2 linked regions of the Oryzias latipes genome follow. The protein of the gene in region 2 purifies or fractionates together with the protein of the main gene of each other region. This does not show direct contact. Links are inferred from orthologs where the notes say so. Each region holds a gene or a part of one and is shown on either strand. Other genes may lie near its edges.

Region 1 (3,912 bases), on a different chromosome or scaffold from region 2:
AGGCCCAGGGCACGTTGGAGCCCAGGAGGGGGCACTTCTCCCCGCTGGGGCAGTACACCTCACCGGAGGCGCCCTGGGCCTTGATGCTCTCTCTGGAGCAGGGGAAGCAGAACTTGTGGACGGGGACCGAGGGACACTGGACGAAGTGCGTGTCCTCCAAGCGTTCGTGGCAGATGGTGCAGCACAGGGGCCCGCTGTTGGCCACCGGGGAGTCCGGCACGTTGGGAGGGTGCGCCTGGTCCGAGCCCCCCGCGGACTGCAGGTCTCCGTTTCGTGAAGGGAGGCGCCGCTGGCCGCTCAGGGAGGCGGGGGACACCGGGCTGCTGTTCTGTCTGGAGGAGGTGGAGTGAACGGAGTCCCTGTCCTTATTGGGAGAGTACGGGTTCCCCAGCGCGTCCGCCGCCATCGGGGACGGCCCGTTCCGCGGAGGCGCCTCTGGAGGCGTGCTGCGGCCGGAGCAGAGCCCCGGGGCGAGCGCGGGGGGAGTCCCGCCGAAGGAGCCCGCGGGAGCCCACTGCTGCCTCTGCTGCTCCTCCGCGAGCTTCACGCCGCCGTCCGCCGAGTCCGGCTCCGGGGAGGCCTTCCTCTTCCTGCCGCCCGGCCTGCCGCCGCCGGAGCCCAGCGCCCGGCCCGGGAGCAGCAGGGAGGTGGGCAGCAGCGGGAAGCTGGTGTCGGTGTGCGCCTGCGGCAGCATGTCCTCCCCAACCGCCTCCTTAAAGAACCGCAGGGACTCCGGTAACAGGTCCCCGAGCAGGCGCCAGTCCCCGGATCCGTGCTTCTTCTCGTACTCCAGGTACTTGAACCCGGAGGAGAGGCCCCGACCGAAGTCCTTCATGCAGTCCTGGTACATCTGCTTGGCCACTCCGGAGGCGCTGGAGAAGACGGCCCCGGAGCCGCTCGGGTACTCGATGAAGATCTTCAGCTCGAACTCCGCGCCAGTTTTGGACGCGGCGTCGAAGGCGAAGACCCTCCCGACCAGGCCGTGGTCCTTCTTGAAGCGGACGTCGAACGGCGTGGAGGCGGACAGCGCCAGCAGCGTCTCCCGCACCGCCTTGGGTCGGCTCGCCCACTCCTCCTGCCGGTTCCGGAGGCTCTCGCTCAGCTCCACCAGGGCCTCGGCGCTCCGCTGCTTCTCCTTCGCCTCCCGCTCCTGGTCCGTGCTGGAGACCGAGGCAGGCCGCCGCCCCCCCGGCTCTGGCAGCCCAGTTTGCACGGACATGGAGGCGGCGACCATGGAGTTCTGCGGGGCCACTCTTCCGACCAGGCCGTGCGGGACTGGCGGTCCACCGAGCAGCGTCTGCGGCAGCAGGTTCGGGGGAACGTTGGTCTGCGCCGCCGCTGACACCGGGCCCCCGCTGCTCCTCGTGCGGGCGTTCGGGCTCTGCCGGTTTAGGTCCGGAGGACCCTCGTCCGCTTTGTACCCGTTCGGTCCAACATATCCGTTGGCCTGCCTGGTTCCGCAGCTGTAGTCAAAGCGAGAGCGGGTCTCCGCTCCCCCCGAGTACCGGTCCAGACCCGGCTGCAGGGACTTCCCCGCTCCGTCCGTCTCCTTGGCGGGCAGCACAGCCGCCTGAGCCTTCGCCGCGCCGGGGAGCGCCGAGGACGGACGGCCGTCCTGGAAGCCCTGCGCCCGCTTCAGGTGGCGGGTGGTCTCGATGACGAACTCGATCCGGTCCGCTCCCTCGTAGTTGACGCATCCGCGACACACGGGCTCGGTGAAGTCCCAGATCATGGCCCAGGGCATGCGGGGCAGGTCGCACAGGTAGCATGACTGCCTGCGGGACGAGGAGAGCTGTGGGGAGGACATACTCCCGCACGGCCTCTCCGCTGAGCTGCTCCTGCGCAGAGAGGAGGACTGGCGGTCTGCCGCGGCTCCTCTCAGGTTATTGTTCCTCCTCCTGCTGCAGAGGTGGTGGGGGAGGGGGTCCCCCCCCCCCCCCCCCCCACATCCACCAGCCAAGATGAGGAATTTGGTTGCAGCACCCCCACAGATGCACCTGGCAAAGATCCCTTTGCTGGCCTTCCTCCTCATCAGCTCTTCATCCTCTGAATTGTTGCATGTCTGAACGAAACAAATGGGTGGGTGTGTGGGTGGGGTTGGGGGGTAAACCCTGCTGTTTTTGACAGATCAGTGAGCAGCGTCTGAAACAGATGAGCAGTGCTGGTGAAGGTCACGGCCGACACAAAGCTGGACGGATGCTGGCGTGTCAGACAGTGGCTGGTTGAGCTGCAGCTCAGGCGTGTCGGAACGTCGTCGGAGCAGAACCTCTGGAGTCAGACATCGAGCTCCGTTTGTGCAAACTGGATTTTTGTTAGGGGCAAAAAGGCGGAAACTTTGCAGAAGCACGTTGGTTTAAATTGCTGCAGGCAGGGGTGATTTATGCTTTAACTCCCGCCGGGGATCATCGTCCTCAGATATTTCTGAGAGGCGAGAACCGTCCACAACATGGAGCTGATGCATGCTGGTCTTTGCATCGTCTCAGAGCTAAAAGCTTCCACATTTGCATCTTTATTTATTCCATCCTTTTGTGAACAAATGCTTAAAAAAAAAAAAAAAAAAAAAACAAGCAGAAGGGATGCTGTGATGTCTCCCTGTTGTCATGGAAACGCAGGTGAAGGACATCAAGGCACGTTTGAGCTGCAGCCGCCAATGTCACGACAGGAAGAGACGTCGGTCGGCTGCAGCTGGTGCACACGCCGACCGGCAGCGAAGCTCAAGACAAACCTTGACGGGTCTTCGTTTTTAGAACAGATCTACAAAGAACCCTGAAGGTTTCCCGCTGAAATCACATCCTATTTTTTTTCCTCCTAAACAACCACCTCAGCAGCTTTAGTGGATCATCCTCTGACATTAGGGAGGGTTGTGGTTGGATTCTACGGTTAAGTCAAAGGTCAGCATCTGCTGCAGGTTTAACCAGCTGATTGGCCGCCGACGGTCCTTCATGGATGGAGGCGGCACTGTAGCAGCAGAGCTGCGTGAATCCGTCCTCCTCGCCTCCTACAACAACAACAACCGTGTGTGTGGCAGAACCTCCCCAAACCCGTCTTCCTTCACCTGGATAGCTGATGCCTGCAGTCACGGTGGCGCGTTTCCATAGTAACGGGGGCAGTTCCAGCGGCTGCGGTGATGACAGGGAGACGTCCGTGCTGCCGGCTGCAGACGGCATCCACTGAGGAGGAGGAGGAGATGAGAAGACGATATCAATCAGGAATACGCCGAAGATCTTCATCAGAAGGTTTCCCCTTTGAGAAGAAGTCTTCTGGACGTCAGAGATTTGTGGCTTTTATTCTGTGATATGCACACGTGCACTCAACATAAAAGCTATTTTTAGCTCAGATCTGCAAACATAGTGGTTCCCATGGAAACCTTAACACTTCCCATACAGGAGATCAGCTTGGCAATGCTGCCCCCTGCTGGCTGCTCATAACCGCTGGCCTACCTTCACATCTTTTAATGTCACTGTACCTGAGACAATAACAAATAAAGATCTATTCTATTCTATCATAAGCATTTTAGGTGTTTACCTAAGAAAATGTAGACAAACATCTGTTCTTTACTCAATAAGGAAGCGCCCCCTGCTGGCTGAGTTTAGCCTCTCAGTTGTCACGCATGACAAAACGTCAGGTGTGTTTTACCTTCTGTAACCTGGAGACTCTGTGGGCGGGCTGAAGGTGTGACATCGGAGGTCACGGGGGCGTGGCCTGTCACTATCTTGAGTGCTGACTCCAGCAGTTGGCCCTGATTGGAGGACAACGGGGAAAAGCTGATGAGCGGCAGCGAGATGGCGGCGAGACGGAGATTCAGACCTCCGACAGGTGAGTTTACCTGTAGCCGCAGCTGCTGCTGCTGCAGAGCGTCCAGGTGCTGCAGAGTCTGCTGGTTCAGGCTCCGCCCCATGCCACCATCCTGCC
Region 2 (3,912 bases):
CACCTCTGAGTTGTGGAAGGGATTGTTGGCGTGCCGCAACCCTGCCCCCTTTCCCCTCCACGTCCCTGAGAGTTATCTGTTTACATGCTCTCCTTCTATCTTACAGCCCTGCACACCCCCAACCCATTTTTACCGGTGCAACAAAGACGGCGAGCAATGTTGGAGCTATCCATCCGTACAGTTTTGATCCAGATTCCAGCTCAGCCAAGGAAAACAACATGGATCTAGTCATCTACAAGTAGATGCATTGGAATGGAGCTTGTGGCCTTCAAACACCATTTTTTCATCTGCTCCTGTTTCACAACGATTTGAATAAAGAAATGCACAGAAATGCAAGTTTGAGCATAATTTTCTTCATATATGTCCTTAACCATCAGAAAAAGGCAACAAGAACGTGTTGAAACACTAAAAACACCTTTTTCCACGGGAGTGGGTCTGGAAAGGACAAATTTGCCAATGACAATGCCTCTGTTCTCTAAAAGTGGCCCTCAAAAACGCTGTCCGCTGCTCCACATGCAGCTGCAACAACAGTTAAACATCAGCTGGTACTTTTAAGATGTGCTAGAGAAAAGACAAGAACACTCAGCTGCAAGACAGCGATACAAATGCTCGGCTTGAAAGACAGAGCCTTGAAACCATTTTTAACAGTAACAGGATGTAGATTCCTGATTGAAATGCAAACCCCTTCCCGAGAAGCTCTAAAGCACTAAGAGGCTTTAAAGATTCACATCTTTTATTTACACATTACAAACAAGCAAATGTGGGCTGCAGCAAACCTGGACCGACTTGACTTACCTTTTGGGGATTTTTTTGTTTGTTTTTTTAAAGATGCGCAAACGCAGAAAAAAATTACTACGATTTGGCAACTAACTTCCTTTGACATGTGAACGAAATGCGTGAGCTTATCTAACACGTGTGGGCTCCCGGTTAGAAACTGTACAAGAAGGTTTTAAAAAAATGAAAAGCTGAAACATGAAACTTCACTGTAAGGCTTTTGGTTTTCAATAACATCGTTTTAAACTCTAATCTTCCCATAAAACAAGTCGGGTTTTTTGTATGGACGCAAACTCTAAAAATAGTGCCTGATAACATTACTTTAAACATATTTAAAGTGAACAAATACTAGTGAGGTCTGCTTTTAACCCAAGAGGAACCAACCACTTCAAGTCACTTTTCACAGGAACAATCATTTGTGGACAAAACAAAAGGAGTTAAATCTGTAAACCATGTGTAATAAAGATAAGGCTATTGCTATTCAATTGCAGGTTGAAAAAAAAACAAATGCCATCAAATATTTGCCTTGAAATCCATCTTTGTATGGTTAAAAAAAAAAACAAGCAACGAGAGGATTTTCTGTTAAATCAGGCAGAAGTTAAAGTATAATGAAGCCTGCAGAGTCAAACTCACCACGCTAGATTTAACATAAAAGAGAGAGGGGTTGTGATCCCTGCAGTCTGATCTGATCAAAGTCCGGTGGGCCTGACACTCCCTCCCTGCCCTGCTGCACGTTAGTTAGTGTGCTGCCAACACGCTGCCTCGTTGCAACAATGAGCTCCCGAACAGGTCAAACAGGGTGACGCCACCACGGTTCGGCTCTTCTCTGTCAGTCTCAAGACCAAAAAGGCCTCAAACTTCCACCTGCAATGCATCCGCCTTCGAATGCACCGTATGACCCCCCCAGTGCTCGATACCTAACGTCACTTTAGGAACAATTTACATTGTTTTAAAAGAAAAAAACTCAATATAAATCATGTTGACATTGTTTAATAATGTGTTTGTGTTAGTTAAATTGTTATAAACACGAAAAAGTCGTCATTTTCTTTATTTTTTTTAGGTAATTTAGTCCAGTTTACATATGGATGTAGTACATAGCTAGCTTAGGTTTTAAGAAATATAAATTGGAACTTTTAGTGTTTAAATTTAATAAAAAGGTTTTCAACAAATCAGATCGTAAAAATCAGCTCAATTTAGAACAAAATACTTTAAAAAGTTTTAAAGTATTCCACCTAGCATATCTTTTTTTTTTTTTAGCTAATTAGCAAAACAACGTTTAGCTAAAGAAAACCCACGCCAACAAAACTCTTCCGGGAAAGAAAGTTATAAACATATTTTTACAAGTTTGGTTTAGCGGTGAGGTCAATATTTACCAGCCGCGTCTACCACCAACGTGCTGACCCAAAAGCGAAAATAAATCCAAAACTAACAACAAACCGTCAGAAAACTACAGGAGACTACTTTCACTTACACAGCTACGGCTCTGTCATGTCGTCCGGTGGGGAGTCGGTGTGCGCCGTGAAGGCAGCGCCGTTAATATGCGGAAATAAAATGTTACCTTTTGGCTTCGGACGGCCAGCCGATTCACACCGCCGCGGACGAAATACAGGGGGGGAAAGGACCCCGCCGAAGTTGGAGAAAAGTCGTTCCAGGAGTGAAGCAGGGGGGGGGATTAGGTGGCCGACGTTTTTCTTTTTCTTTTTTTTCTGCACCCAGACCGAAAGCAAAACAACTGCCGCCTCGGGAAGTGAAGGTTCGAGATGGAAATCCCCCTTCAGCTCGCCTGCTCTCGTTTTGGATCGGTCCCGGGCGGCGTCATCGCTCTGGTGAGCGCTCCTCCTGAGAAAGATGACGCTGAGACATCTCACTCTGATCATTTTTCCTGCAGTCGTCAACATCAATCTCATCGCTATAACAGTGAAAGGTGAACATCAGGGCGGTGGGCTTGGGGGGTTAAGCTGCATTTTAAGTACTCTTAAAAATATATATATTTATTTATTAAAATAAAAAAGCTCCGGGTTACAAAATTCAACTATAGTAATGTTCAATTATTACATCAATTCTTTTTTTCAAATAATAACAATTTATCTAAGATTCTATCAAGACTTAAAATAAAATAAAAAAGACAAAAATGTTTAAAAATGACACCCGCCCCGACACTCTCTTCGTGGCAATAGACGATCTTTGAGTTGTATTTCATTTTCACTTCCTATCCCCCCTCCCCTCCTCATCAAAGCTTTTTCTTTCAACTCTTTTTCTGCCAGAAACGAAACCAGAAACTTCACACAAGCGCACACATGCGTGCAAGATTTAAGCACCTGCAGTTTATGGGGGAAACAGTTTGTTTTAGAGCTACTAGTGCAATTCAACTTCAGTTTAAAGGGCCCCAGATTATCCCTTTTGCAATGTTTTTTTTTTTGTGTATGTCTTGATTTAAGTCTTCATTTTACACTGACTGTTGCATTTTGTTGGAAGATATTAATTGTCTAAGCATGCTTCTTCATTCACATATTTGTTACATATGGAGTTATTTCAGTCTCAATAATCAGAAATGCACACAACCGGTTTTACAAATACACACGCTCCGATTCACAAATGTCATTTTATGCAAACGTGAAAAATAAATTCGGAAATACACACCCTGTGTTTCACAAACACACACATTGTGTTTCACAAATGCACACTAAATGTTTTACAAATGCACAATAAGTGTTTCTCACAAATGTGCACACTGTTTTTCACAAAAACATTTTAGAAATTCACAATAAATGTATCAGAAATGCACAGTAGGTGCTTCACAAACGTGATTTTTAGGTACACATGTGATGTGAACTCACAGATCATTCGAACTGCAGACTGTGCATTCAAAATCCCGTTCTCGTTTGTGAATCTCCCCGTGTGTGTGAGAGATTTTTCTACGGTGAATATTGAGACTCATCTGACGGAGCGGGTCGACTAATCTCACCATTGGCTAGTGAATCTGTCAATCAAACTCATCGGCAAAGCAGGCGGGTTCGCTTTTAGCCAATCGAATGGCCCCTTACACTTTCTCTACGCTTTCTGCAGGTGTCAAAAGCCCCGCCCATGTTTGATTCTGTACCAGTCGGTCGTTAGCGTGTTAGCTTTAGCATGGCTTGT

The links.
Region 1: the proteins of irf2 (region 2) and interferon regulatory factor 2-binding protein-like B purify together in Homo sapiens (affinity purification with mass spectrometry; 3 studies listed by BioGRID and IntAct, counting the BioPlex papers as one, with this or other methods). This does not show direct contact. The link is inferred for Oryzias latipes from reciprocal best matches to the Homo sapiens genes IRF2 and IRF2BPL.

What each region holds. Positions count from the first base shown.
Region 1 is NC_019880.2:2,455,616-2,459,527, forward strand, and holds the start of interferon regulatory factor 2-binding protein-like B, read right to left. Parts: upstream 2,317-3,912; 5' UTR 2,033-2,316; coding exon 1-2,032. Other genes in the region: kiaa0586 (protein TALPID3), read right to left, coding at 3,056-3,170, 3,637-3,739, 3,827-3,911. UniProt on the Homo sapiens protein: Probable E3 ubiquitin protein ligase involved in the proteasome-mediated ubiquitin-dependent degradation of target proteins. Through the degradation of CTNNB1, functions downstream of FOXF2 to negatively regulate the Wnt signaling pathway.
Region 2 is NC_019868.2:24,521,860-24,525,771, forward strand, and holds the start of irf2 (interferon regulatory factor 2), read right to left. Parts: upstream 2,606-3,912; 5' UTR 2,246-2,605; intron 2,231-2,245; exon of another isoform or gene 1,408-2,230; intron 1-1,407. UniProt on the Homo sapiens protein: Specifically binds to the upstream regulatory region of type I IFN and IFN-inducible MHC class I genes (the interferon consensus sequence (ICS)) and represses those genes. Also acts as an activator for several genes including H4 and IL7.